Linked DNA regions of Elephas maximus indicus. The protein of the gene in region 2 interacts with the protein of the main gene of each other region in a pairwise test. Links are inferred from orthologs where the notes say so. Each region holds a gene or a part of one and is shown on either strand. Other genes may lie near its edges.

Region 1 (7,170 bases), on a different chromosome or scaffold from region 2:
TCTTTCTAGAAGAATTAATTCCAAGCCCTGGCTGCCAGTTCTCTGAGCACAGACACCCTTCTCCTCACCCGCTGGGGCAAGGGCCCTCAGACATCAGTTTTTTGGGCTGACGGTAGAGGTATGCTTCCAGTTTTCAAGCATCTACTAAATGCCAGGCACAGTGAACAAGGTGGATGAGGATTCTTGACCTTGTGCAGTGAAAATGTGAGACCTGGGAGGTCAGCAGAACCAGATTCTTCTCTCGTTTCTGCCCCAGACTCCCTGGTTGACCCTTCCAGGCCTACCTGTCCTCTCCCCAAGGGGAGGGAGAGAGGGGCCCCTTCAGGGAAGCCATCAGCCCCTTGGCATTGCCCTCAAGTAATACCTGCAGGAACCCCGAGGCTATGGCCCCTGGACACTCTGCTAACTCAGAGCCAAAGCACTCTTAAATCTCGCTTTTCTGGCAAAGATTAGACAGGCCTATAAAACAAACAATAACCCAAGTGAGAATATGCTCCTTAGTGCAATCAGATATATGAGACCAAATGGGCACCTCCTGCCCAAAGGCAAGATGAGAAGGCAGGAAGGGACAGGAACTGGACCAATGGACACAGGGAAGGCGAGGTAGAAAGGAACAGCATGCTGTCCCATTGGGGGGACTGCAACCAATGTCATAAAATAATATGTTTATAAATTTTTGAATGAGAAATTAACTCGAGCTGTAACCTTTCATCTAAGGCACAATTTTAAAAAGAAAGAAAGAAAAGGATGGTCCCCGCAGCATCTTTTATAGCAGTGAATACCTGGGAACAACCTGAAGGTCCACCAACAGGGAAAAGAGAAACAATGTGGGTGGTCACTCACTGGGACACTCCTCTGCAGTTAAAAGGAATGAAGGGACCATTATTTCTCGTCATGGGTAGACTCTGACAGCTTAATGATGTGAAGGAAAAAAAGAAAGAAAGAAATTGCAGAAGACTCTTACAGTTAGGTAATATTTATGTAGATGTCAAGAAAGAAAACAATTCTGTGTGTTGTTTATTGATGCATTACATATATATGCAGTAAATTTATAAAAACATGGACTGGAAGGGCTGTAATTTATGACAGTGGTAGACTCAGGAGGGAGAGAAACAAGACTGGGAGGGATATGGGCGAGGGGTTCGATTTCATGTTACTTTTAGTAATTTCATTAAAAAAAAAACTCGGAAGTAAGCATGACAAAATGCTAACATTTGTTAATTCCTGGTATTGGGTTCCTGGGATATTTAGTGTATTAGTCTCTTTGCTTTTCTGTATTTTTAAAAATCTCCACTTCCCCAATAAGGGATAGTGACAAGAAAGCTGTGGGATAAGGGAACTGATATCTATTAAGACCTTTCTCTGCACCAGCCATACATTAGGTCAGTGGTTCTCAAAGTGTGATCCCGGAACCAGCAGCACCAGCATCGTTTGAGACTGCAAATTCTCTGGGGCCCTGCCCCAGACTACTAAATCACAAACTCTGGGGCTGGGGCCCAGCAATCTGTGTTTTAACAAGCCCTCCAGGTGATGCTGATGTATTGCTAAATTTGAGAACCACTGGGTTAGACCTTAATAGCTACGACAATCCAGCCACTAGTTGCCAAGTTCATTCCAACTCATGGCAACCCCATGTGTGTCAGAGAACTGTGCTACGTGGGGTTTTCGATGACTGATTTTTTCTCCCCCAGAAGTAGATTGCCAGGCCTTTCTTCTGAGGTGCCTCTGGGTGGACTTGAACTTGCATCCTTTCTGTTATCTGGAGCCGGTTAATCATTTGCATCACCCAGGGACTCTGAAGCTATGGCAACAAATTAAGCATGTATACCTATCAGGCGGTCTCTAAGAGCTTTCCCCTAAGTAACTCAATTTAATCCTCTAAACAACTCTGTGATGGAGGTATTATTATTTTTATTCCCAGGAAACCCAGGCACAGAAAGGCCAAATCCCCTACCCGAGTCCTCTCCCTTAACCACTACACTAAACGGTCTCTTTTTAAGAGGCAACAACCTCACGTACACAACCTCTCACAAACTCTAGCTCACTGTAGCAGTTGAGGAAGGAATTAATAGCCCTGTTTTACCAATAAGGAAACTGGGATTCAGAGAAATGAAGTGACTTGCCCAAGGTCTCATAACATCCTGTGGTCTCCCCAAGAGGTTTTGGGGTTTGACTCAGACCTCTTGGGGGTCCCGGCCAAGACCGGCAGGGAAAGGGAGCTCAAGGAGTTGGCCCAGCTGCTACCCCGCCTGGGTGTGGCTCATAGGTCACGCCCCCACCCAGCTGCCCCCTTCCCGCTCCGGCCTGGGCCGGAGGGGATCTCGACCAGCTGCCAGCCCGCTGTGACTTGTCATCCTCCCCCACTGAAAACCTGAAAGGCCCTCCCCTCCCGTCTGCTCATGGGAGCCGCATCCCTTCCTTCTCTTTTTTTTTTTTGCAGAAGGGGAACCTGGACGGCAAGAGAAGTGGCACTCGAGCACAAAGTCACTCAGCCCTCCCTTTGGGCTACCCAGGCTCCCAGCTGGGCCATGGCAGTTCCTCCTTGACCTGGGCACCCACCTGTCCCCGTTGGTCCTCTATCCCACCGCCTGTCCGCGGCTCCCCGGACGCGCTCTGCTCCCGCCCCTCCGACTGGCTGCACCCACAGGCAGCCCTGCCCAAGACCCCGGGCTCCCTCCGCCGCCCGAGGACCCCGAGCTCACCGGCCAGGTGCTATCCCCCCGCCACCGGCCTGTCCGCGACACTCACCTGGGTGCCCGCTCCTCGTCTCGCGGGCAGCCCGGATTCTCGCAGCTCGGGCGCCCCCCCAGCTTAGCAGCCCCCGGGGTTCCGGGGCGCCCGAGCCTGGAGGAAAACGGAGTGACTTTCGAGAAGAAAATACTGGGGCGCGGCTCCCAGGGGCTTCGGAGCCGCGGGCCTTCTCGGACTTTTCTCCAGCTGAACCGGCTCGGTCCCCTCCCACTCGCCTCTGAGCCTGGGCGGAGCCGGGGGGCTGGAACCGGGGACTCGCGGGCGCCCACAGGCCAGAGGTACTTTAGCCCCGCCCCGCCGGTGTTAACCCCTCCCCAAAGGAGCCTGACCCCTTCCCCCAAATTCTAACCCCACCCCAAGAATTCTAACCCTTTCCCTGGGGAGCCTACCCTGGGTGCACTCCTCCCAGGAGCCGGGATTTTTAACTCCGCCCACTGGAGGCTTTTAACACAGCCGTCAAAGGTCCTCACCCCGCCCCAAGGATTTTAACCCGTCCCTCAAAGAAGCTAGCCCCCATCTCCTCCTCCCCGTATCGTGACACCGCCCCTAATATACTCTAACCTCGCCTCGGAAGGAGCCTAATCCAGTCCCCGAAGGATTCCAAACCTTGCCCCTAGGGCTTCTAACCCGCCCTCCAGAGAACCCTAACCCGGCCCCCTCCTCCTAAGATCGTAACTGTGACCGCAGAGGATTTTCGATTCCACTTCTAAAGGATTTTTAGCCTCGCCCACCATAGATTTCTAATCCTGCCCCCAGGGATTTTAACTCCTCTAATTTTTTATTAGTTCTAAAGGAGCCCTGGTGGCACAGTGGTTAAAGCGATCCACTGCTAACCCAAAGGTCGGCGGCTCGAAACCACCAGCCGCTCCGAGGAAGTAAGATGTGGCAGCCTGCATCCTAAAGGTTTACAGCCTTGGAAACCCTATGAGTCGGAATCCACTCTACGGCAGTGGGTTTCTGGTTCTTCCAATGATTCTAACCAGGTTCTCAAGATTTATAGCTCTAACCCTAGGAATTCTAATCCCACTCCTGAGTGATTCCCGCGTTTGTTCCAGAAGGATTTTAACCTCCCCCTCAGGACTCTAACCCTGCTCACCCGAAGGTTCTAATCCGCCCCCCCCCCCGGGATTCTAACTCCACCTATCAAAGGATTCGAATCCCTCTTTTCAAAGACTCCAACTTAGTCCTGAAGGGTCCTAACCCCCACCTTGTCTCTCCCAGCAGGGTCCTAACCTGCCCCCCCCCCAATTCTAATCCCTCCCTTGTCCACCAACTCCCTAAAGAACCTAACTCGGTTGCCCTCCCTCCTCAAGATTCTAACCTAGTTTCCCCATCTCCCTTCATCCCACAGGAGTCTAACCTGGTACTCCACCCTCCTCTGCTTTAAGTTCCTTCTCTGGGGATCCCGAAGTCCTCGCCACCTCTGGGTCTCCCCATCCACCCGCCTTTTAGCCCAGGCGCCTCTCCCACGCTGCATCCCTGGCCTTCCCGGCCCTTCTGTGGTCAGTGGTTTCCCGTCCACAGGCCCTGCCCTAGTCAAACGCCATGCAAAGCTCTGCGCCCGCAAAACTGCCCTTGGCTGGTTCCTGCCCATTTCCTGGCAACACAGACAGCTTCCCAAATTGAGAAGGGTGGACAGGAGGCAGAAGGGTGACTGGATGGGATCCGGCTCAGCGCTGGAGAAGAGCACAACCCATCTGCCCCTGGAAAAGAGAGGAACTGTCACCCTAAATTCTACCAGACACAACTTTAAAATGTACTGTGTCTCTCTCTTCCACAGCCACAAGCCAGCTCTGGCTACCGTTGTCTCTTATTCATTCATTCATTCATTCATTCATTCATTCATTCATTCATTCATTCAGCAGTACTGTGTAGGACACTGTGCTGAGCGCTGGGATAAGTCAAGCTTCTCATACTCGGTACTCTGGACTTTTGGACTTAAAATTTTTCTTGAAAGGGGGCTAATCCTGTGAATTGCAGGCTTTTCAGCAGCGTTCCTGACCTCTACCCCCTAGATCCACCACCTGTGTACTTGCATGAACAATCAACACCCATGGAGGCAGCAGTCAAGAAATCAAAGGACAAATTGCATGGGGCAAATCTGCTGCGAAAGATCTCTTTAAAGTGTTAATAAGCGAAGATGTCACTTTGAGGACTAAGGTGCACTTGACCCAAATATATGAGGTCTTTTTGACCGCCTCATATGCATGCAAAAGCTGAACAATGAAAAAGGAAGACGGAAGAGTGAATGCATTCAAATTGTGACGTTGGTGAAGAATATTGTTGGAAAAACAACAAATTAGTCTTAGAAGAAATACAACCAGAATGCTCCTTGGGAGCAAAGGAGACTTTGGCTTCTTTATTCTGGACACATCATCGGGAAAGACCAATTGCTAGAAAAAGACATCACGGTTGGTAAAGCAGTTGTTGTTAGGTGCTGTCAAGTTGGTTCCGACTCATAGTGATTCTATGCACAACAGAACAAAACATTGCTCTATCCCCCGCCATCCTCTCAATCGTTATGCTTAAGCCCATTGTTGCAGCCACTGTGTCAATCCATCTCATTGAGGGTCTTCCCCTTTTTCACTGACCCTCTACTTAACCAAGCATGATGTCCTCCTCCAGGGACTGATCCCTTCTGACAACATGTCCAAAGCATGTGAGACATAGTCTCGCCGTCCTGGTAAAGTGTCTGTTAGTTTGTCATACCGTGGGGCCTTGCGTGTTGCTGTGATGCTGGAAGCTATGCCACTGGTATTCAAATATTAGTAAGGTCACCCATGGTGGACAGGTTTAAGCTGAGTTTCCAGACTAAGACAGACTAGGAAGAAGGACCTGGCAGTCTACTTCTGAAAAGATTTAGCCAGTGAAACCTGGTAAAGCAGAGAGTCAGCTGAAATGAGGGAAACCCTGAATGAGATGGATTGACTCATTAGCCAAAACAATGGACTCAAACATACCAATGATCATGAAGATGGTGCAGGACCAGGCAACGTTTCCTTCTCTTATACATAAGGTTGTTGTGAGTGGAAGCCGACTTGATGGCAACTGGCAACTGGCAACTAAGAACAACACACTAGATGCCAGTAGCACACACATCCCCCAGTTGTGAGAGCCAAAAATGTCTCCAGACATTGCCAAATGTCCCCTAAGAGCTCACAACAATGAACAAGAAAGACAATGCCTCTGCTCTTATGTGTTTGGTATATGTGCTTAAATATATGTATATACTTTAAAAAAAAAAAGTAGGAAATGTTTTAAGTGTGTGTTTAATTTACTTGAATCGTACTTATAAATTTCATACTTTTTTCACTCTATCACTGTGCTGTTAATATCTAGCCACGTTGCTGGAGGTACTGGTTGTTCACTGCTTCTAACTACCATGTAATCATTGTTTACATCCTCCACATTTTATTTATCCATTTCCCTAGTCATGGACACCTAGATTGCACCCAACTTTTCACTAACATAAACAATGCCACACTAGGCATCCTTACATACATCCCCTAGTGGACCTGTGTGAAAAGTTTTAAGACTTGCTTTTGCCAAAAATGATAGATACTTGCAGAATGGCTGCCACCCAATTTCTCTCCAACAATTTCCCCATTAACTTCATCAACTTTTGGTATCACCCCCTGGTCTTAATATGAATTCCCCAGAACCAAACCTTAGACAAGGATTCAAGTGAAAGTAGCTGTTTTTTTGGAGACACAGATAACACTGGTAGAGACGTGAGTGAGATAAGGAAGGGAAGGAAACCAATTAAGGAAGCATTATCAAGTGAGCCATCATAAATTGGAACCAACTCAGTGGCAACTAACAATAACATCAAGCAAGTTACCAGTGTGGGCAACTGGAGCTCAGTCCTGCTGGGGAACTCTGGGAGACAGTGTACTCTACCACTTGAGAGTTATCCTACCTGATAGATGAGGTAACTAAGACATTTACACACCAACTCCTGTCAGACAGTGGCTAATGGCTACTCCCAGGCCGTGTCAATGCCTGGGCAGAGAGGGATCCAGCCACCAGAGAGAACCTCCAGGAAGAGATGCCGGTCCTGGTAAAGGCTGAGGGGACATGGGAGGGGTGTTATCTGCATCTGCTACATCTCCTTCCAAATGTTTGCCATTCTGATGGCAGAGGGTCACACAGAGCTGAAACATTCTTCTGTTAATGACCAATTTTCTAATTCATTGCTGTTAAAGTAATGTTGTTATAAAAATTCCTGTACATGTTCCCAAATCTCTTATCAACTTTATTGTGGTATAATTTTCATACAATAAAATGCAACCTTTATAAATGTACAGTTTGATGAGTTTTAACAAATATGCACACCAGTGTAACTACCTCCTCAATCAAGATACAGAACATTTTCATTGCCCCAAAAAGTTCCCTTATGTCCTGTTGCAGCCAACGCCT
Region 2 (6,931 bases):
CCATATCTTGATTATATAAATTCTTCTACTATGGCAACATGGTTTGAGGTATTAATTTCTAAAACCACTGAACTATGGAGCACATTTGTTATATCAAATGTAAGCAGCCTCAAATAGTATGCCTTAATGTTCATATATTTAAATCAATATAACTATCTAAATTTGGCAAAAAGTTATAGAATGGTTTTCTAAGAATCTAGATGTCTGAAGACTGATAACACTATATGCAGCAAGCCCTGAAATCACGCAGACGGATACAGCAGACCTACTATGAAAGGCAACGCCGGCGTTGAACCTCTCTCCTCAGCAGTACACAACTGATTCCATAACCCGTTGCTGTTGATTTCGACTCACAGCGACCCTATAGGACAGAGTACAACTGCCCCATTCGGTTTCCAGGGAGCACCTGGTGGATTCAAACTGCCGCCCTTTTGGTTAGCAGCCGTAGGTAGCTCTTAGCCACTACGCCACCAGGGTTTCCATACAAGGTGTAAAAATTACTAAATTATGGAAGATTAATACTACAAACAGACAAGTCATTATAATGGAAAAAGCAAGAAAACAAAAAAACCAAATCAAGTTTACGTCTCTCCCTCTACATTTTCTGAGACCTTTAAATGAAGAGTTTCAAACATGTTGAAAAATATGCTCACATTGTGATTCGCAAGCATTTCTTATTTTGAAAAATAACGCCACCTCTAAGTCAGGGCATGAAGTCAGAATACATAATTATAACTTCTGAGAAAAAGAGCATGCATAATTTATTACAGCTTTGAATACTCATCTAAAATGCTTAAAGATGAAAAAAAAATTGAGCACTACCTCCTACTCACATAATGATTCTTTCTGCAAAATTAGATTTTAAACCGGACATCATAATATCACTGTTTAATGTTTCCGCAAGTCATTTACAAACCTGCAGTTGTAAATGATAAAAAAAGTTCTCATGTGACAAAAGCTCCTCTCCTACTTTGTTATTCAAAGCTCAAGTACTATTTCTAAGTACCATCAGATGCAATTTCACTACTTGAAAAAATAACTATCTTCTAGAAATTACTATCAATCAAGAAATCAAGAGACATTTTTATTCTACCTAGAAAAGCCAATTATTACCTTCATATCAACACTTTCATTCTTACCCTTTTAAAAAGGGTAGAAGAAATTAACAGTCCATTCAGTGGAGAAGAGGCAGAAAATCTCAGATGTGCAAACCAATGTTAATCAGATTATACCACTTTTTTTATGACTGACAGAAAAGCGAAAAAATGCTGACCACTAAGCGAAGAGAGGATGCATCTCTGATATTCATATCAATTTGGATCTGATGGGTAGTTTCAATTATCATAACTAGTAGCAACAATGATTTCTTAGGAAAACTAATGTTCAAAGAGTTTTGCACATCACTGATTATCCCATTTTTAATCTACTTTTAAAAGACTCATTCTCATTTAAATTGCCTAATTTTTTTTAAATTAGAAAATGCTCTTTATGTAATTATTTAATAAAATTAATCTATCATGATTTCTAAATATTTTAATAATGCCCTAATTTCATTTTCTGCAAAATGTGGTAGGGTTTTTTGTTTTTTGGGAGGGGAAACCACCACCACTCGCCCACACCCACCCCAAGATTACAGACTAAAACAATCATTCTTTACACACTCAAAAATAAATTCAGACTCTGGGAAACACAGTAAAGTACAAATACACAAAGTTCAATGTTAGAAGCCATTTGAATAACTGCACGGGGCTCTGGAGATGTCTGCCTGTAACCTAAGGACCAACTGTGGATGTAAACCGAGAAAGGCAATGATATTATCATATTTATCCCACAAATTCTAAGAGCTTTGATCAAATTCCCCTAAATAGTTCATGCATGCAGAGAATAGTATGTCTCTGTAACCGCAGATGCCGGTCTGGAATAGTTTAAAAAAATAAGTAAATAACCAGGCCTGTATCTGTCTGGTGTGATATGCAAACTTTGTTTTATCGACGTCTTAAATGTAAAAAGGTGGGCTAAGGTATTCATTCTTATGACAGAGAATCTTTGAGCTTAAGTCTTGGCTGGTGTAATTAGTTCCTGTTTCTTCCCCATTGAGGTGCTAAGAAGGTGATGACACGACCCCGGGAGACCCACACGTCTCTTCCTCCGTACCTTACCTACCCTGGTGGTGTAGTGGTTAAGTGCTACGGCTGCTAACCAAAGGGTCAGCAGTTCGAATCCGCCAGGCGCTCCTTGGAAACTCTATGGGGCACTTCTACTCTGTCCTATAGGGTCGGCTAAGAGTCGGAATCGACTCGACGGCACTGGGTTACCTTACCTAACTCCTTTCTTCACACACACACGCGCACTCTCCCATCACATTCATAGCCCAGGTGCCCCTGTAGGCAGTTTTCTGGAGTTGTTTCACTGGTGTATCTAAATAGGATCTAACGCCACCAGGCAGCCTGGGACTGAATGTGGCCCCGCCAGCGCCCTCTGCTCACCTCTAGCTTGTGGTTGATTTGGGACACAGTCTGGGCTTTATGGCAAAGCTGCGCAAAGCAGGAGCTCAGGCTGGTCATCTTCTGTCGCCCCTCATAAGTAATGTCCGCCTGGTCCGGATCGATCTCGCCCAGGAGTAGATCCACATCCACGAAGGCCTTATCGAACTCCTTCTCCAGCACCTCCAGCCACCGGAACATGGATACCCCGCCGGGGGAGACCCCCACAGCGCAGGAGGCGCCCCCTGAGCCCCCACCGGCCCCCGCCGGGCACGGGCCGCCCGCCGACATGGCGCCGCCTAGGGCCTCCCCTGCCTGCTGCTGACCCCCGCCGCCCACCCTGCGCGAGGGGAACTGCTGGGACTATGGGGACCCCCGCGCACGCACGTTCCGTCGTACCCCGTCTTCCCCTCGCGCGGCTAACGCCGGCAAGGTAGGCCCGCAGTGGCAAGAGCAGCGAGGCTGAGGCGGCGGCGGTGGCACACGGAAGACCCGGGACCGTCCCACCTCCGTCCCGCTCCCACTGCGCATGCGTAGCAAAGAGGCAGGCGGACAAGGCTGGCGGGGACGAAATGGGCGGGGCTAGGATAAGACTTTGGCCTATGAAAGGCCTGTGCTCGGGACCGGCTGTCAGCGGCCATCTTGACAACTGGCTAACTCCAAGTTGGATCCCAGAGAAACAGAGGCGCATGGTGTCTGCTTCCAATTTGGAAAGATCGGCGGGAGAGAGGATATCCACGTCGCAGAAAAGAACGGCTTCCGCCCGTTTGACTTCACAGTGGGCGGGAGCTATTCTAAAGTCTGGGAAAGTTGCTGCAGTAGAGTCCGGGGGCAGGGAGTGGAAAGCTTGGAAGGGCAGAGTGAGCATGCGCAATAGCCACGTTTTACCTTTCTTCTTTCCAGTTCCTGTTTAGGGTGGAGTGTTGGATACACTGGCTCTTTTTGTTAAACCAGGCCCTAAACTCTGGGAGGGAACTGCTTAAAGCTGCAGGTTGAGGAGAGCGCCTGACCAGGTTTTGCCGAATTAATAGAAGACCTTTTGTCTCGTGATTAAGAGGCAGGCCTGGGTTCAAGTGTTATGTTTCACACCCTGGCTATACAGCCTTCGTCGTGTTACTTAACCTCGGAGTCTCAAATTTTACTTCGTTCAGTAATAAGGTAAAATGCTTAGCATGGGTGCTTGGCACGTGGTATTAGGTCCTGTTACACCACAGATCATACATTTCAAAAACAACTATTTGAAAAGTGCAAGTGTTGAAGGAATCACTCAATTATTTAAAAAAAACTGGGTAGTGTTCAACACGTGACGTTTCAGAAAAATTAAACAATTTAAGTGGATATCCCCAAAGAATGGCTTGTTTTCCCCTCTCATTATAGAGCTCATGTTGATTTCTTTTTGAAACCATACATCGGAATGCAAAATGATTATATATTGTATGTATTATTAAAAAAGAAGAAAAAACCACACCCGTTCTTGTGGAGTCAATTCTGACTCAACGTACAGGCGCGCGCGCGCGCACACACACGCACACCCCAGTCTCAGTGCTTTTACTGTCAAATCTTAATCTGAAAGGGAAGGAAGCACTCAAAGGCATAATACTATGTTTAGTACTACCTCTTAAGTCTTTATGAAGATTTATATATTCGTAAATATATTAAATGCCGAACCGTGCACTGGGGACACAAATGAATGAGACATAACCCTCATTCAAGCAGGGCTCATAGGTTACTGCGGTTACTAGCATTCACAGCTACAATTTTAATTTGATTTTTGCAGTACACCTGGAAGTGTTGAGCAGTTGCCCCCTTTACCATTCCACCTACCCACTCTCAACCCCGTTTCATTTCAAGTGTAGCCCAGTCGAGGAAAGGGAAGGAGAAACCAGCCTGGTAAGAATAGGTTGGTTGGAACTTTTGCTCCTGTATTGCCTGAGGGAATATTTTACTGGCCGACTACAAAAGTCTTCTGTGACCTTGTCAGGGGACAGACCCTTCCAATTAATCACCGTCCAAAGCCTGCACCATGTGACCCTTGTCAACACCAATGAGGAACGAGAAATCACATCTTTAGTTTGTTCTCTGGGTACTGCAGGGCTGACTAATTAATGTAAGCCAGTAGAGTCCTTTGGCTCCAGCAAACTTAGCTAAGCCTTAGTAAACGTAAGATCCTTGCCCTGAGCTTATATAGGCATGTTCAGGCAGGTTTTAATACACAATAAATTATATAAAACTAAGATTTGCATTCTTCCCCACTCCCTTCCAAAACTAACTTTGCATTTATCTACGATATTCACAAGAACATCATTACTACAGCTACCGAGGTCCCAGCCTCTTTATAGGTAATATAGTTAGCAATGAATTTTCAGGAATTTGAAGCAAGTAATTTGAAACTGGAGAGGGGCACATACATGGAACCACAACAACAATAATTATAGCTATCAATTACTGAGCACTTAGTATGTGGTAGGCATTGTGGAATTTGCTTAACCTTTTTGATCCTTGAAAAATCCTCTGAGGTAGGTATTATCATTTTGTCCTAGACGGTTAACAGCTTAAGTATTGTCTTGGTAAGGTCACACAGCTAAAAAGTGAGTGAGCAGGGTTCCCGTCTAGGTGTCTTTTTTAATCCAAAGCCTTTGCCATTGACCAGGAGGCATAGAAGGATGGGAAAATCCATTTCTTCTTGTACAAATTATCAGTATAAAATGGCAAATCTGTCCAAAAGTAGTTACCTTTAAAAAAAAAAATTCTTCCCAGTAAATAGCCAAATACAAATCTCTTACTATGTAATAAATATGACAAAAATAGTAATTGTAATACTCATTTTTTTTCTTATAGCTCTCTTTATACGGCCCACCCACACTTGCAGATAAATTTCATTTCTTTTAAATAACATCATTCAACTTCTGACTATATTGTGTGAGTGTGGCTGAAGTGCATTTCAAGTGTGTATATGTGTCCAGTGCTCTAATTGTTGATGAATAGCCCCATTTTCAGGATGCCTAGTTGAATTTCTGTTACAACCCTTACAATTCCAACAAGTCACACTCTCTGTGCCTCAGCATACTTTCATCTATATTGTCCCTTCTCATTACCACACTATGGCTACGTCCCTATGCGCTTGCTGTTTCTATCACCATGTGACTATTTCAAGTGCTCTTGAGAAGCCCTGATGTAGACAAATAATCTTCTGCCCACCTTGATTGAGTTGTTGCAATTTTATTGAGTTGTTACAATTTTACAAGTCACAGCCAAATTTGGACAAGAAAAGTAGGGTTGGTTTGATGTTCAAGTGCTGCCATCTGTTGTCAACATTCTCTATCTACATTATTGCCTTTACCTACTCTGGAATTTGGAATTGTAATCTCAATACTTGCAGGATTTATTTTCCCAGAGATAATAAAATCATGATAGTTGTATTTGCAGTTGGATTGGCAGAAACCTCCAACAATTGTTTCGTGAATCATACCTATGTGATTTTTTAAGTCTGCTATAACTTAAATATGACTGTCTTGCTTTAGAAATTTATCCCTGCAGAGTTCTGCCAAAAGATGTTATTAAGAATAAATAGGGTGGGAAACTTTAAACCAAAAATATCCCCTGAAGTCTTCTTAAAACCAAATGATAATTTAGCATAATAGTAAAGAATGTCTGCCTTGAGCATAGTGTTCTTTTAAGATCTATCTGTATGGGATCAAATCAACAACAGCAACCTCAAAGATTAAGTAGGAAACCTAGGGGGCAATGATTTTATGTTAAATTGGGGAGGAACAACTCTTTTTTTTTTTTTAATAATTTTTATTGTGCTTTAAGTGAAAGTTTACAAATCAAGTCAGTCTCTCACACAAAAACTTATATACACCTTGCTACATACTCCCAATTACTCTCCGCCTAATGAGACAGCCTGCTCTCTCCCTCCACTCTCTCTTTTCGTGTCCATTTCACCAGCTTCTAACCCCCTATGCCCTATCATCTCCCCTCCAGGCAGGAGATGCCAACATAGTCTCAAGTGTCCACCTGATCCAAGAAGCTCACTCCTCACCAGCATCCCTCCCCAACCCACTGTCCAGTCCAATCCATGTCTGAAGAGTTGGCTTAGGGGAATGGTTCCTGTCCTGGGCCAACAGAAGGTCTGGGGGCCATGACCACTGGGGTCCTTCCAATCTCAGTCAGACGATTAAGTCTGGTCTTTTTATGAGAATTTGGGGTCTGCATCCCATTGCTCTCCTGCTCCCTCAGGGGTTCTCTGTTGTGTTCCCTGTCAGGGCAGTCATTGGTTGTAGTGGGATACCATCTTGTTCTTCTGGACTCAGGATGATGGCGTCTCTGGTTCATGTGGCCCTTTCTATCTCTTTGGACTCATAATTGCCTTGTGTCCTTGGTGTTCTTCATTCTCCTTTGCTCCAGGTGGGTTGAGACCAATTGATGCATCTTAGGTGGCTGCTTGC
Region 3 (7,910 bases), on a different chromosome or scaffold from region 2:
CCTTGGGTTCTCTTGGACTGGGTTTGGACGTGAGGTGGGAAGGGAGCCTAAGCTGGCTTTTGGACTCCCATCTGTGGAGCTGCACCCAGAACCAGGAGTGGGACGTGGGCCCATCCTCTGGCCAGGATCCTGGGCTCCCTTGGCTACAAAGCAGGACAGGGGCCCAGAGAGCCCCCAACTCAGGAGCCGTGAAGCTGGCAGCTGGTAAGAGCTTCATCATAGCACTTCCCCCCTCTTGTACCCCCACTCCCAGCCTGCTTGGCTCTCAAGCTGTGAGGACTCGCAACCCCGGGGGCATCTCTAGGCTGGCCCCACCTATTGGTAAGGTAGCGTAGCGGCACCTGGGTCTTTGCATGAGAAGATAGATAGAGGGTTGATGAGGGTGTGGCCAGAGCCCACTGGACCAGGGCCACGGGCCTGGGTTCCGGACCCCAACTCCCACAGGCCCCAATACCCCTAATTTCTCTCCAACCAAAGGGGCTCCTCTTGCCCCCTCCTTAGCCTCCTGAAAGAGGGGGCTGGTCCCCCAACTGGGGGTATGCTAGCCTCAGTGTCCCTCTCCCTGCTGAAGGTCATGCTGCAGAGCCTTCACCAGTGGGCAGGCCTTGGAGCTGAGGCTCCCAGAGGGGAGAAGGCGCTGGGAAGGGGGTAGTTCTTTCTGGGTCTCTGGTTCTGGAAACCAGAGTAAAGCCTGAGGCGCAGGCGCCACCACCTGGCCTTGGCCAGAACTGCAATGGCCAAGGGATGGTTGTGGGGAGAAACCCAGAGCTAGGTTTGTCCAGTCTGGGTCCTACACAGCCAGACGGCCCCAAACAGTCATTTTTTCCAGGTGTGGTACCATCCATGACCTAGAGAATAAGGCCTTACACTCCATAGGCCAGGAGCTTCAGACTTGAGCCTGCATCAAAGTCACCTGAAAGGTGTATTAGATTGCTTGGTCTCCAACCCTAGAGTTTCTGATTCAGTAGTTCTGAGGCAGGACCTAAGAATTTGCATTTCTAACAATTTTCAGGTGAGGCTGATGCTCCTGGTCCGGGCACCATGCTTTGAGAACCACTGCCTTAGAATTCCTGTGAACTGGGCCCAATAAAATAACACCTTTGCAGTGTATTATTATTATTATTATGACAAAAAACGAGTGTAAGTGGGAGTATAGGTGCTTGGTCAGCCCACCAAAGCCAATGTCCAGTCACATTTACATCTGGAGCCCACTCCATGTGCACTGGGGGTCTGCTCTAGGGGTAAGGGATGTCATGGTGAATGAGATAGGATGGGTTAGGTCCCTGTTTCAGAATCCAGTCTAGCTAGGAGATAACCAGGCAACCAGGCAAGTATAGCATGTGATCCTTCCACCTGGAGGTATGAAAAAAACCTAACCAAACCCATTAGCATCGAGTCCATTCTGACTCATGGCAATCCTGTGGGTTACAGAGCAGAGCTGCTCCATAGGGTTTTCTTGGCTGTAATCTTCACAGAAGCAGATCATCAGGCCTTTCTTCCATGGTACTGTTGAGTGGGTTCAAACTGACAACCTTTAGTAGTCAAGAGCAAACCGTTTGTGCCACGTAAGGACCTGGAGGTCTAAAAGGCAGCTCAAAATAATGCCCAAAACAGAACCCAATTTTCACATCCCACCTGCTCCTTCTCAGGTGTTCCCCAGTCAGCAAACATAACACCACTATCCAAACCAGTTGCAAAGCCTAAGTAGGGATCATCCTTGATTCCTCCCTCTCTCTCCCATATCCGATCACACAAGGCCTGTCAGCTCTGCCTCCATTATACAACTCAGTTTTGTTCACATCGTCTCTTTCTGTCCGAGCATCTCCATCCTTGCCCCTGGGCCACCCTCTGCACTGCAGCCAGAACGGTCTTTTTAAAGACAGGTCATGTCACTTCTCTGCTTATGCTCAACAACACTTTCCTATTGTGTTTTTTTTTTTTATAAAAAAGTTCCAAAATCATGCTAGGCTTCTGGGCCTTATGTGGCCTGGCCCCGTCTACCTATTTACCCTTACCTCGTAGCACACTCCCTTTGCGCCTTTGCTCCAGCTATGCTTGCCTCCCTGCCTGTTCCCACTTCAGGATCTTTGACCCACCCATGCCTTCCATCTGGAATACTCTTCCCTCAGATCTTTCCTAGGCTGGCTTCTCCTGCTCCGGAATGTCTTCCCTGGCCCCTCTATCTACATGTTGCTTCCCACCCCCTACTCTCTATTCTTATTTACTTGTTTTGTTTTGTTCATAACACTTACCGTCCTTTGGAATTGTCTTATTTGCTTCTCCATTTGTTTATTTCCAGCCTTCCTCACCAGAATGTAAGTGTCCTAGGGGCAGAGACCATGTCCGTCTTGTGTGCCTCATATTCCCAGTGCCTAGAGTTGTACCTGCACATAGCTGGTGCTCAATATATTTTGTTGAATAAGTGGGATCATATAGGATGCCATATAGGGTCCCGCAGACATGACATCAAGGATGGCTTTCCAGAGGAAGTTTAAGCTGATACTGAAGGGCTTATAGGAGTTGGGCTGGAGGAGAAAGACCAGTCTAGGCATCGTAGGGACCAAAAAAATAAAAAAAGCATGCAGTTTTCTGGCAACTGTGAATAGCCCAGTTTGGCTAGAGCAGAAGGTTTAGTGGAGAGAAGAATGGAGAAGCAGAGGAGTTGGAGAAGCTGCAGGCCAGCCATGCAGGGCCTCCCTGCCCTTGATGGGTTTGAGCTCTATGCTGAGGGTGTTAAATCAGACATTTAGAAAGGGCTGCTGAGTGTGGATGGTTTCCAGGGAGAAAGCCTGGTGGTGGGGAGGCCTGGGAGGTGCAGTGGCCCAGGTGAACAATGCTGATGTCCTGAGCCAGGCAAGTGGCAGTGCAGAAGGAAAGTGGCCATGTGCAGGAGACACTGAGGAAGTGACCCTGCCAGGACAAGGTGATCGTATGGATATATAGGGTTAGAAAGAAGGACTTGTCATCAGTGACTCCCAGGTCTTCAGTTTGAAGGACTGGATGAGCGGAGGTGCTATTTCCTAGGGTGGAGGGGCACTGCAGGGGGAGCAGGTTTGGGGGAAAGGTGGGGGTTCTGTTTTGGACAGGTAGAGTTTGGGTCTAGGTGGGCAGTTGAGATACATGCTAAGTTTCCACAAAGAGGGAATGGCCCATGTGGTCAGCTGCTGTTAAGAGGCTGAGCCCTCTAGGATGAGGAGGACGTATCCCTTGGGGGGAGTGGCAGGCAGAAGCAGTTTGGCTGGAGCAGGCTTTGTGTATGTCAAGCAGTGAATGGAAGTGAGTCAGTGAGACAGGGAGCAAAGCACAGATCTCCCCCCACCCCCCACCCCTTCAAGATGTTTGGCCTAAAGAAAGGAAGAGAGTTAGGGCCACCACTGGGGGCAGGGAGGTAGCCTGGTATTTTCTTATTTTAAGTTGGGGAAGATTTACATCTTTTGGAATGCCGAAGGAAGGAACCAGAAGAGTGGGAGGTTGATGATAACAGGAGCTGTAAGGGGATGGCATTGTGGTCATTTCTTTGAGAGGAGGAAGATGCCTCTTCTGTTGTAACAAGTGGTAAGAGTGGAAGCTGGTTTGTGGGCAAGGGGTGGAAGACTTGGAGGCTTCAAATGAACGTTCCCAGGTGGTGGCTTCTATTTTTCTCCAAGAAGTAGCAGGGAAATTCTTGCTGAGGTGGGAAGTGGAGTTGGGCTTCAGTTTGGGGGGGGGGGTGTCATTTGAAATGCCACTAAGAGGGGCCAAGGAGCATAGGGAATCAACATGGTGGGCTTGGTGAGAATCCAGGTGAGGATGGATATCATGAGTTTGCAGTGGCCCCAACGTCCCCACAAGCAAGATGGTTATACAGTTGGGTCTTCTCCAGGAGGGTTGATGGGAGGACCCCAGGATAAGGGAGTCAGTGACAGGTTGGATCATTAGGTGGGCTGGGGAGGGAGGTGTAAATGGGAGGGGCTGATGCATTTGGGAGAAGGAAGAAGACTCAAGGCCAGGGAAGAATCTGGAAGACCCCATGACCAAGAGGATGGGCAGAGGCTCAAAGACATGGAGAACTCTGGGATGACTCTGGGATAAGTGAGGTAGAGAACACTGCTTTGCTGTGTCTGGGGTTGGGAGTGCCTTCTGGCCAGAGGCTACTAATGCAAGGGAGGGGATTCCTGAATCTCCCCAGGATGCTTTCTTGGGGCCTTGGGCCCTTCTCATTGTAGGTCACTGGCTGGGAAATGGCCTTACCTGGGAACTTTGACCTTGAGCCTGATGGAGGCCTTGGAGCTCAGCTGGAGGTCAGGACTCAGGAGTTCAACCCCCCTACAAGCTGTCCCATCACTAGGTAAGTCCATTCCTGGCTGGGCCCCATGGCTACCAGCAAAGATAGTGTGCCCAGGCCTAATCTGCCTACCTGACTCTGGGAGGAGGCTGAGAGAGAGAGTCAAAAGGTGCCTGAAGGAAAGCAGATCGTCCAGGTGAGATGGAAGGGTGAGTATGTGGGGGAGATGCCTGCCTTTCCTGGGGCCTCCTCCGCCTGACCTCTCTTCTCCTGAGCCCTCCCTGTGTTCTAGACTTCCCACAGAAGCTTCAAGTGCATTTATTCTCTCAAGGAATTCTTGCAAACCCTTCAGGTGTTATAGGCCCCATCTTATCCATGAGAATGCTGACGTTCAGGGAAGTGGCCTGTCTGAGATAGGCAGTACATACAAGGCTAGAAACCACCGTTAGTGCCTCCAGGTCCCTCTCTTTTTTGCTGCAGACCCATTCCCATCCCAGCAGGGTCCTAAGGACCAAGGCTCTGCTCCAGGGGAGGCTGGAGCCCCTGACTTGGAGGGGACTGGGTCGCTGTGAGGGGCTCTGTGGTGTTCAACAGTTCAATCAATCGAAGTGTGGGCTTTGCTCTCTTAAAGGGTCGAAGCAGCGGAGGTGCTGGAGCGGAGGACGACGACGCGCTGGGGAAGCCAGCCGCGAAACGCCGCGGGATGGCGCGCCCAGGCCAGGGAAACCCTCTTCCCGCCCTCCAAACCGGGTCTTCCTCTCAGACCTACGCGTCGCCTCTCTGGTCTGCGAAGCTCCCATCTGGACCCGCCAGAGGGCGCCCGGGGGCAGAGGCGGAGGCGGGCGCCGGGGAACCCCGGAAAGGTAGCGGCCGGGTCGGTGCTGCCCTGCGGGAACTGCAGCTAAAGTCCGAGGGTTGGATGACCAGAGAATCTGGATTCAGGCGCGTCAGACGCCCAGTGAAGCCGGATTCTGGGGGTCGAACGATCAGGGATTTGAAGAGTCGAGCGCTCTTACACGCTCGGGCGGCTCCAATGCCGTCACCCCAGGCCCTCCCCTTCCCTTCTCCCCATTCCAGGGTCCCGCGCAGGCGGGGGGGCCTGTTCCTGGGGTGCGTCTGGGGCGGGTCTCCCGGCCCTGGCCCTCCCGACGCCCCTGGCCCAGGGGCAGAAACTCGAGAATCCGGGCAAGGGGTAGGGAAAGGGGCTCCTAACCCTCCTCGGCTCCGCCCCGCCCCGGGCCCCGCCCGCCCGGCCGCCCCGCCCACTCCCCTCGGCCCGGCGGGGAGCTCCGGGGGCCGCCACTGCCGCCGCCCGAGCGCCCGCCATGCACGCTGCTCCCGCCGCCCCGCTGCTGCTCCAGCTGCTGCTTCTCCTGGGGTCGCGGCTGGTGGGTACGGGCACCGCGGAGCCGCCGCCGCCGCCGGCCGTGGTCCTTGTCATCCTGGCCCGCAATGCAGAGCACTCTCTGCCCCACTACCTGGGCGCACTGGAGCGGCTGGACTACCCCCGGGCCAGGCTGGCCCTCTGGTGAGAGAGACCCAGGCGTTGGTACCCACGGGACATCTCCCCCCAGCCTCCTAGATGGCTCCCGGCCCCGGTGGCCTCATCTGCTCCCTGCCCAGACAGGCCCCACCCTCGCAAACAGGCCCTCCAGAGTCCCAAGCCCCTGGCTGGCAAAGGTAGACCTAGGTCTAGGCCGTGGGGGTGACCCAGGGACACCCACCCCTTCTTCCAGCCCCCTTCTTCTCCTCTTGGGACCGCCTCTGGGTGTTAAGTTGGGCCCAGGCCCTCTTACCTCAGCCCTTGGAGCCCAAACTCAACTCTGTGGGACCTGTGGTTGGTTTGACTTGGAGACACTGGACCGGCAGGAGTCCCCTGAGGCTGGAATCCCCTGGGGCCTGACATGGCTGGAATCAGCAGGACTGGAGCTTCCTGGGGAGCAGGTGGGAGTGCTGTCAGCCCTGGGCTGCATGCAGTTCTGCAGGGGAGTCAGACTGGCTCTCCTCCAGCTGAGCTAGGCCCTGTCCGCCAAGGACTGCACAGCTGGGGACTGTCCCTTTCCTGGAGTCTCTCCCCGCAGGCATCTGCATACAGCACTGGTATCAGAGACCACAACCTCCAGTCTCTGGAAGCCAGAACAGGGAGGAGTCCTGAGCTGAGGCTGCGGATAAACTAAGAGAAATGACAAACTACCCCCCCACCCCCACCACCCAAGACACCAAAGTTGGAGGTGGAGCCGTGGCCTGGGGAGGCTGCCCACAATTACCACAGTTTGGGAGTTAGTTCCCACCCCTCCAAGACTTGACACGTAGTTAGTCTTCACTCCTGGGGAATTGGCTTAAAGGGGCAGCATCACTCAAGCTGGGGCTCTTGGCTAAGCCCTGCTTCTCTGTCACCGGAGCCCCTTCCCCAGGAGAAGAGACCTATGCTCTGAGGCACCTGGGCTTGGGCTCATCAGCACTTCTCCAGGAGCTCAGAGCATGGTTTGACCCTTATTACAATTTGCCGGTGGAGGGAAGCAGCACTGTTCTGTCCAGTCCTGACAGGGAAAGGGACTGACCTGTGGTCACACAGCAAGGAGAGAAAGTAACCAGGGAATGTAGCAGGTGTGCTCCTCAAAGTCGAGGTACCTTTCATTTTTCAAAACACATTTACCTTCTGTTCTCTCAGCCCATGACATGGTCAGGAAAGCTTATAGCAACAGAGGGAGAAACTGAAGTCAGAGAGGGAACAGGACCTACCTGAGGTTACACAGCCGGTCACAGAGCTGTGATTGGGACCTGGCTGTCCTGCCTCCAGCCCCTCTTCCCCCCGCCACTGTAGCACACCTAGCCTCAGTGCCACCCTCCCCTGTGGCCTGGGGTGACCAGCCTTATAGGTGTTGGTGCTCCAGGGGTCAAGTCTGGGTTTGGCCCTTCTGTCCTTCTGTGGCTGTGACCTCTCACCCTTCTTCCTCTCTGTCCCCAGGTGTGCCACTGACCACAACATAGATAACACCAAGGAGATGCTGCAGGAGTGGTTGGCTGCTGTGGGCAATGACTATGCAGCTGTGGTCTGGAGGCCCGAGGGGGAGCCCAGGTGGTGACCTGAGGGGAAAGGTTCTGGAGAAGATGGGGAACAGTTGTAGCCCAGAGAGGAAAAGGGATAGCCCAGGGCCAGCCCAGGGCTCTGTCCACTGCCCTACAGACAGGGAGAGATACCCACACCATGAGAACATGTCATGTCTTTACTCCCTCAGGTCCTACCCAGACGAAGAGGGTCCCAAGCACTGGACCAAAGAACGGTACCAGTTTCTGATGGAGTTGAAGCAGGAAGCTCTGACCTTTGCCAGGGACTGGGGGGCTGATTATATCCTGGTAAGGAAGCCTGGCCTAGGGTTGGCTTCTCACTGGTGATGGTATCTGTCCCTGGCAAAAATCTCGATGTGACTAACCACTCCTGTAGGCTGGATTCTTCGCCTGGCAACCTGGGCCAGAGCCCAGATCAGCTGTTAAGCTTGGATCCCTAGGCTGAGCTTGGACTAGGTACTAAGCCTGGATCTCTGAAATAGATCTTAGGGTATATAAATAAAAAAGTGGGCCTAAATTCTGGACCAGAGCCCAGGGTACAAACTGAGCCTGGGTTCATGGACTAGAGCTCAGAGTA
Region 4 (7,178 bases), about 170 Mb from region 2:
GTTCAGTCGATACTTCCCAGGCAAACTACATTGGCTTCCCTAGGCACACATTCTTGCCAATAAAACAGGGAACTTGGCAGCTGTCATTCTCACAATAAGTTAATTAAGTGAAATTCTGTTTCATACACGACTTTCATCTTAACACAAGCCAGTCTTTCAGCCTGACCTCCTCCAATTTCATTTCTAAGATCTAGTTTTTGAACCCGTGAAACTGAGGCTCAGGCCCCACTGAGTTACTTCCTTGTCTGAAGCCTTCTCTCTTCGATATCTCTTCTAGCTACAACACTGAATAGTCAAGCAGCTATCCCCTACAGGGAGGGGGAAACAAAAAAACACACACGGAATTAAAAAATATCTATATTTGCAACTACATTTTACAGAACACAGAGTGTACCTGGGAAATATCAAACCCAATGACAAACAGATATAATCTGGTAAATTACTGCACTTTAAAGAAAATAAAAACGTTCTCTGGGCATCTAGGCAGAAACAGCATATAACTTATAAGTGAGACCGTATTGGACTTCTTTACAGCAATGCTTTAAGCCGGAAGAAATCTTAAACACATATTTAAGATTTTTAAGGAAAAAAAAATGCAAACCATGTATTTTATATACAGCAAAAGTGACTTTGAAATATACCTTCAAACTGTAATCGACATCAAGAACTCAGGGAATATTGTTTCCATAAGGCCTTCCTAAGGAATCTACTAGAGAACCAGATTTCAGAAAATCAAAATGACTAAACTAGAAAGACATAGACATAAAGAACTGATGATGTTCATTAAATATGTATTTACTTATAGAACTAAGACTAAATGAGTCCTTGTACAGCAGTATTCGTGGCAGCATTATTCGTAACAGCCAAAACGCGGAGACAACCCAAGTGTCCGTTAACAGATGAATGGATCAACAAAATAGGGTATGCAATGGGATATTTTGCACCACAAAGAGAAATGAAGTTCTGGTACATGCTATGACATGGATGAACCTTGAAAACATTACACTGACATAAGTCAGACACAAAAGAACACGTATCGTATGATCCCAGTTATATGAAACATCCAGAAGAGGTAAGTGCGTAGCGACCACAGTTCATTAGTGGTTACCAGGGCAGGTGGGAGGGGGAGATGTGAGTGTTTCCTAAGGGGGACAGAGTTTTTGTTAAGAATGATGAAAAATTTTGGAAACAGAGATTATTGTACAACATGCATGGTGAATGTAATTAACGTCACCAAATTGTACACGCAAAAATGGCTGAAATATTTTGTTACATGTATTTCACCACAATAACCAATAACTATACATATAAAAAAATAACTCTATGTGTATATATAGTTACAAGGTCACTATGAATCAGAATCCACTCAACAGCATGGTTTTGGTTTTATTTATATATGGCAACCAACGTAGAAATAATGGCGTCCCTGGGTGATGTAAATGGTTAACCCACCCAGAGGCACCTCAGGAGACAAGCCTAGGTTCTGCTTGTCCAAAAGCTTGCAGCCTTGAAAAGCCTATGGAGTAGCTCTGTTTTGCACACATGGGGTCACCATAAGCTGAAATTGATTCGATGGCAACTAATAACAACATAGAAATAAAAACTTTTTGAAATAAAAATTAAAAAAAATGACTAAGCCAGAAAATCAGTTGCTGTCAAGTCGATTCCTAATCCTGAGGGTTAAATGGTAAAAATTATAGTATGCAATGGCTATAGAAGCTGGGAATATAGAGTCCAATCGTAATAAAATAGACAGTATATGAAAAAAATTAACTTTTCAAGAATCATCATTGATGATAGTATTAATATTGTCATTCTGAGGTTACTGTATGTTTAATGTAAAATAAAACAAGTTAGTAAAATGAGATATTCTAATTTCATCATCCCTTGTATCCTTGAGAACCAGGATCCTCCAAGTAGAAGAAAAGACATCCCACTGTAATATGGAAGAGTTTAAGTAAAACCTTATAGTTCTAAAATGGAATTGGAAATATTAGTATGAACTCATGAAATATTTTATCTTCGTTCTGTCTACTCAAAAGGCCTAAAAACAATTACCAGTCTCGTGGCAGTGGACACCATTCCCTCACTAAAAGAAACTAGGGATTCTTGGAGAAATGGCTAATCCCGGGTCTGGGGCAGCAAATGTACAAGATGAACCGGGAACGTTTTGTCATCTCAGAAAGCAAGGAAGCTATCAAAGACCACTAGTGTGTGTCAAAAGGACCCAGGAGCCAAGTGGAAGAGGTTCCTACCGGCCAAAGATGGGCAATCTGAGCTTCAGTGAGGATTAGAATTGCAGTAGATTAAAACACCTTAAATATATTTAAATCCATGAATTCATAATGTTATTAAGAAAAAGAAAATAAGTCACTGTCTTAGGCCGGGTTCTCTAGAGAAGCAAAACCAATGTGGCATATAAATATACATAGAGAGAGATTTATATAAAGGAAATGGCTTACAAGGTTGTGTTGTTGTTGTTTTTAGGTGCCATCGAGTCAGTTCCGACTCATAGCGAGCCTATGCACAACAGAACGGAACACTGCGCCATCCTTACAATCGTTGTTACGCTTGCGCTCATTGTTGCAGCCACTGTGTCAATCCACCTTGTTGAGGGTCTTCCTCTTTTCTGCTGGAAAGTCCCAAATCTGTGGGTCAGGCTCGAGGCTTCTCCTGATTCATGTAGCCACAGGTGCTGGTGAATCCAAAATTGGAAGATCAGATAGCAGGCCTCTGGCTCACAGGCTGTGGAGGCCGACGACGAATCCCAAGATGGCCAGGTAAGACAGCAGGTAGGCTGCTAGCTCAAGTCGTGAGAACCAGAAGTCAGATGAACAGGACCCAGCTGCAGGATCCAGAGCAAGAAAAAACCAGCAAGCCTTGCCAGAAAGTCTACCAATATTGGATGCAGGCCACATCCCCAAGGAAACTCCCGTTCAACTGATTGGCTGCTCACAATAGATCTCATCATGGAGGTGATCACATTATGTCAGATATCATTATGGAGGTGACTACATCATTAAAAAGCTGCCAGACTACATCATACCTGCCAAACTGCTGAGGATCACGGTCCAGGCAAGTTGACACACAACCTTAACCACCACAGTCACTTTTTGAGGATGACGGAGGACCAGTTTATTATCTTGAAAACTGCATCAATTCATAAAAAGAAGCAAGTGTTTATCCTGTTTTTCCTACATGAATTTATCTCAGAGTAACCAAATAGTAGGTGAGGGTAAGCATCGGTTTATAAACGTATTCAGCTAATAAATGAAAACAAAATGGTAGAATTAGAATATCATTTTGCAGCCCTCGATGAATTCATGGGTCTTGGAATTGAGCATCAACAGCTGCTAAGCTCAAAGGAGATCCAAAAACAGACATCATGTGCCTCTCAATAAAGGAACATACCACCACCTATAGTTTTGAAACGGGATCAAACGTCAGTTTGACGACACTTACAGATCAGCTGCCAAATTGGAGAAAATTTAGAAGACAGAGGAACAAGCCGAACTGTTCATGAACATGCCTAAATTCTCCAACAGATAAATTATAAGAAAAAACTTGAAATTCACACAAAGTTTTTAAAAAATAGGCAAGATGTACACTTGAGTGATAACACCAAGTACGTGATTACTGTCTATAAAAGGCAGGATAGTGGGAGAAGGAAGGAAGGGATGGGACATATGGAGAAACTTCTAGTTTGGCTGGCAGATTTCTTGATCTTAGGCTGGGATTACAAGGACATATATATATACAGTTTGTGTGTGTGTGTGTGTGTGAGGTTATCTGTGTCTATGTTTTATTTTACAATAAAAAGTTTTTGTTGTTGTTTTTAAAAATGACCCCGGCCTCAAATAAAGGATTAAAAAAGAGGGCATGGGAGGGGCGGAAAGAGGATCCAAGTTAAGAGATGAGAAAAACTACAAAATACTTCACATCAGGTGCAAATTAAATATTAAGCAAGCCAAAATTTTTCTTTCTTTTATTGTGCTTTAAGTGAAAGTTTACCGGAGCTGGTCTCGGGGTCCTGCGCTCGGGACCCGGCGGAGGAAGAGCGCCGTGGGCGTGGCGGCCGGGGAGGCAGGTCCATTCCCCGAGCGTTATGCAAATGGCATGCAAACCAGCGCGTGTTAGTGTGGAGTCCGCAGCGTGCGTCCGGCTCCGGGAGCGGCGCGCTCACTCGCTGGCGCACGGGCGCGCTGGCTCCTGGTTGTCTCGCTTGCCCGCCAGGTCCCCGGGTCCGCGCCCGCCCGGCCGGGACGCGCCTCGCCGGCTCCCAGCGCCGCCAGGTTCCCGGTCTTCTGCAGACGAGCCCGCGCCTCGCGCCTGCGGCCGGTGCGCCCCTGCCGAGCGCCGATGCTCGACTCCCGGGCCGCCTTCGCAGCGCGGGTGAGTGAGCCGCCCCACGCTTTTGTCTTGGCGCGGTCCTGGAGTCGACTCTCGGAGGGGTGAGTGGGGAGCCGAGACGCTCCCTCCCTCGGAAGCCTTCCCCCCTCGGAGCTGGACGCCCCCGAGCTGGTGCTTCCTAACTCTCCTGCTGGAGAGGGGCTCCTAGGTGCGGCGAGGAGTTGGGGGACGTGAGGGGACGACAGTAATGACGCCCAGCAGCCCGGGTTTTCTTTTGGAGGAGGTGAGGTGATGGGGAACAGTGATATGATTGTCTCTATAGGAGTTACGCAAAGGGGGTGCCTGTGATTTGAGGGGTGCGAATCGCCGCTAGTCCCCAAAGAAGAGAACCGGGCTTTTCTCCCAACTTCCCAGCCCCTTGCACGACAGCAGTGAAAGTCCCACAGCCCAAATGTGAATCCCGGGAGGTAAGTCTTGCTCTTACTCAGTGCCCCTCACTTAAGTCTCTCCCCTCGCTCTGCCTCCTCTCTTCAACTGGGCTTCCGTTGTTAAGGGACCCTGTTCCCAGATAATTGCGACTAGGAAGTTTTCAGTGAACTAATTCCCAGGAAGCATTAGCTGTCAATAGTTGAGGCAGAGCTACTAAAACTGTCAAGACCCAAAGGACTGAATTTCTGGAAGCGTTACTGCAGACTTGAAGATGGGCTGGTGGGGAGAGTTTTCCTAGGAGCTTTGGGTTTGCATTCCCTTTATGTCAGGATGCCAAGGAGAAGAAGAAGGACTTAGCTTGGAGCCTAAAACTTGCTCCCTTCAAGTTGATCCCTTGATTCTGAGTCTTAGGGAACCACTGCGCCAACAGGGCTCCAGTGTGAAGCCTGGAAATGGTAAAATTAGTGATTACAGTTCAGGGAGCTGGGTGGGATGGGGGTACATCTAGGAGATGGGCATGGTGCCAGGCCTCAACACCTGGTTTTGTCATCCTTCCTGGCCCCCAAGTTCGAAGAGCACCAGTGTGTATAATACCCCGTGCCCCCTGCCTTCTGGGGCGTGTCCTAGAGCTGTGCCCCTCTGGGGCCTGTCCTAGAGCTGTGCCCCTCTGGGGTCTGTCCTAGAGCTGTGCCCCCCTTCTACTTGGAAGCCTTAGGTTCCTCCTTGCCTTAAGGAAATCTTTGTCAAAATGCACACTTGTCAATAAATTATTTACAAAAGGGGGCTCGAGAGGAGCTGGGATTGTTCGGAGAGCCCCCCCCCCCGCCCCCGCCACTTCAGCACATCATGTGTTCACTATGCCAGTCTTGGGGACATGTGGGTGCTCTGGTGTCCTTCTTAGGCTCCCAGAAGGCATTTCAGATTCTAGTTGAATTGTTTTTGTTTTTCCCACTTACTTTCTTTCCCTCTTCTCTGCTACTGTTGTTTTCTTTTAAAATCTTCCCTGCCCTGTTTACTGCGGGACAGGAAGGGTGATGCTGCTGGCACCGCAGTGCCCTAGGCCTGCGTGGAACAGTCGCTCCCGGTGCCCAGACTGAGGCTGACCCTTTGTCACCCGTCCTCAGTGGGAAAAGAGCTGAAGCTGGGGCAAGGAGGAGCACAGGCAGGTGGCCCTGGGTGGGGAGTGGTCTGAACACTGGAGGTCGGGTAGGGGGCACTCTGGGGGCATGCACAGGAGCCTTTTCACTAAGATGTGCATGTCAGTTGCCTCATTCGATGATACAAAAGGATGTGAGTCTTCACACACCACTAGGCATGAGTTTGGAGAACCAGCCACCCCCACAGTGGGGAAGGATTTGTGTTGGTCCATCCTCCTGTTTTGGTTTCTTTTGTGCAACAACTGGTCAGCTGAGGAAGGAGGGGGTAGCTGGGGCCTTGGAGCGGTTTTTCCTTGTGTGAGGTTTGCTGACCCCCCCCCACCCCCACCCCAGCAGGAGACTGCTTCCCCAGGAAGCAGATCTTGGGGAACAATGAACTGAGCAGACTACAAGTTCCTGGTCTAATTACTGTAGTTTGCTGGACCCATCTGCTGCCTGTGCCGCCACTACAAGCAGGGTCTCCCGGCTGGCAGACGGGCAGGAGGCTGCTGGGAAGGGTTGTCAGAGAAGGAGGCTGGCCTCAGGTGGTGCTGAGGGGAGAGAGGCCCGTATAGTGCCAAAGGTGGAGCAGAGGGGAGGACACCTAGGGTCTGGGCCCTGGCTGGGGGGATTGTCACCAGCCTTGGAGGAATAGAATGTGAATGTGCTGGGGTCACCTTGTACTCAGTGTCTACAAAAACGACCCCTTGCTTTTTTCCTCACAAGGTAAGATGGACCTAGAGTCTGTGAAACTCACCTAGTTGGTTTATTTTCTCTTTGCCTTTTAGGAGGTTTAGGAGGTGGGGATTTGAGAATGCAGTCCTGCTTGGGAGTAGGGGGTCCAGAGACCCTTTGAACATGTAGAGTTTTATTTAGTATCTTTCTGAGGACAACACTTCTTGATATTCTGAAAGTATACACTAAAGCCACTTTAAAGCCCAGCTGCTCCTGCCCCAACTCAAAATAACACACACAGGTTGGGAAATTAATTCTTAAAAGCTTCCTGCCATACTGTTCTATCCTTTCTTTAAATGTAGAGAAGTTTAGAGAGCAGCCCTTAAAAAGCAGGCTTTCCCAACAGAAGACATTGTCCTTGCCCAACCTGAGTATTCTTTTTTCCTGACCATCGAGGGTACACCCAGGGAACGTGAGGTAGGATCACTTGCATGGAAAACGTACAACTGGGCGCTTGGGTTTGAGTGATATCTGGGGTGGCCTGGGGGCTCGGAGTCAAGGAGCCATCGAGTAGTAATCCAGAGTGAG

What was found.
Region 1: the proteins of GOPC (region 2) and HCK interact in binary tests that used the Homo sapiens proteins (3 or more experiments, as listed by UniProt). The two-hybrid records come from large-scale screens. The link is inferred for Elephas maximus indicus from reciprocal best matches to the Homo sapiens genes GOPC and HCK.
Region 3: the proteins of GOPC (region 2) and CERCAM interact in a two-hybrid assay, tested with the Homo sapiens proteins (2 studies listed by BioGRID and IntAct). The two-hybrid records come from large-scale screens. The link is inferred for Elephas maximus indicus from reciprocal best matches to the Homo sapiens genes GOPC and CERCAM.
Region 4: the proteins of GOPC (region 2) and MYLK interact in binary tests that used the Homo sapiens proteins (3 or more experiments, as listed by UniProt). The two-hybrid records come from large-scale screens. The link is inferred for Elephas maximus indicus from reciprocal best matches to the Homo sapiens genes GOPC and MYLK.

The regions. Positions count from the first base shown.
Region 1 is NC_064843.1:37,418,427-37,425,596, forward strand, and holds the start of HCK (tyrosine-protein kinase HCK), read right to left. Parts: upstream 3,009-7,170; 5' UTR 2,749-3,008; intron 1-2,748. UniProt on the Homo sapiens protein: Non-receptor tyrosine-protein kinase found in hematopoietic cells that transmits signals from cell surface receptors and plays an important role in the regulation of innate immune responses, including neutrophil, monocyte, macrophage and mast cell functions, phagocytosis, cell survival and proliferation, cell adhesion and migration.
Region 2 is NC_064819.1:184,795,819-184,802,749, forward strand, and holds the start of GOPC (Golgi-associated PDZ and coiled-coil motif-containing protein), read right to left. Parts: upstream 3,010-6,931; 5' UTR 2,775-3,009; coding exon 2,487-2,774; intron 1-2,486.
Region 3 is NC_064827.1:79,441,288-79,449,197, forward strand, and holds the start of CERCAM (inactive glycosyltransferase 25 family member 3), read left to right. Parts: upstream 1-4,895; 5' UTR 4,896-5,589; coding exon 5,590-5,792; exon of another isoform or gene 5,793-5,846; coding exon of another isoform or gene 5,847-5,944; exon of another isoform or gene 5,945-6,208; intron 6,209-7,232; coding exon 7,233-7,343; intron 7,344-7,503; coding exon 7,504-7,621; intron 7,622-7,910. UniProt on the Homo sapiens protein: Probable cell adhesion protein involved in leukocyte transmigration across the blood-brain barrier. Does not express any beta-galactosyltransferase activity in vitro.
Region 4 is NC_064819.1:14,806,445-14,813,622, reverse strand, and holds the start of MYLK (myosin light chain kinase, smooth muscle), read left to right. Parts: upstream 1-4,174; 5' UTR 4,175-4,359; coding exon 4,360-4,392; intron 4,393-7,178. UniProt on the Homo sapiens protein: Calcium/calmodulin-dependent myosin light chain kinase implicated in smooth muscle contraction via phosphorylation of myosin light chains (MLC). Also regulates actin-myosin interaction through a non-kinase activity.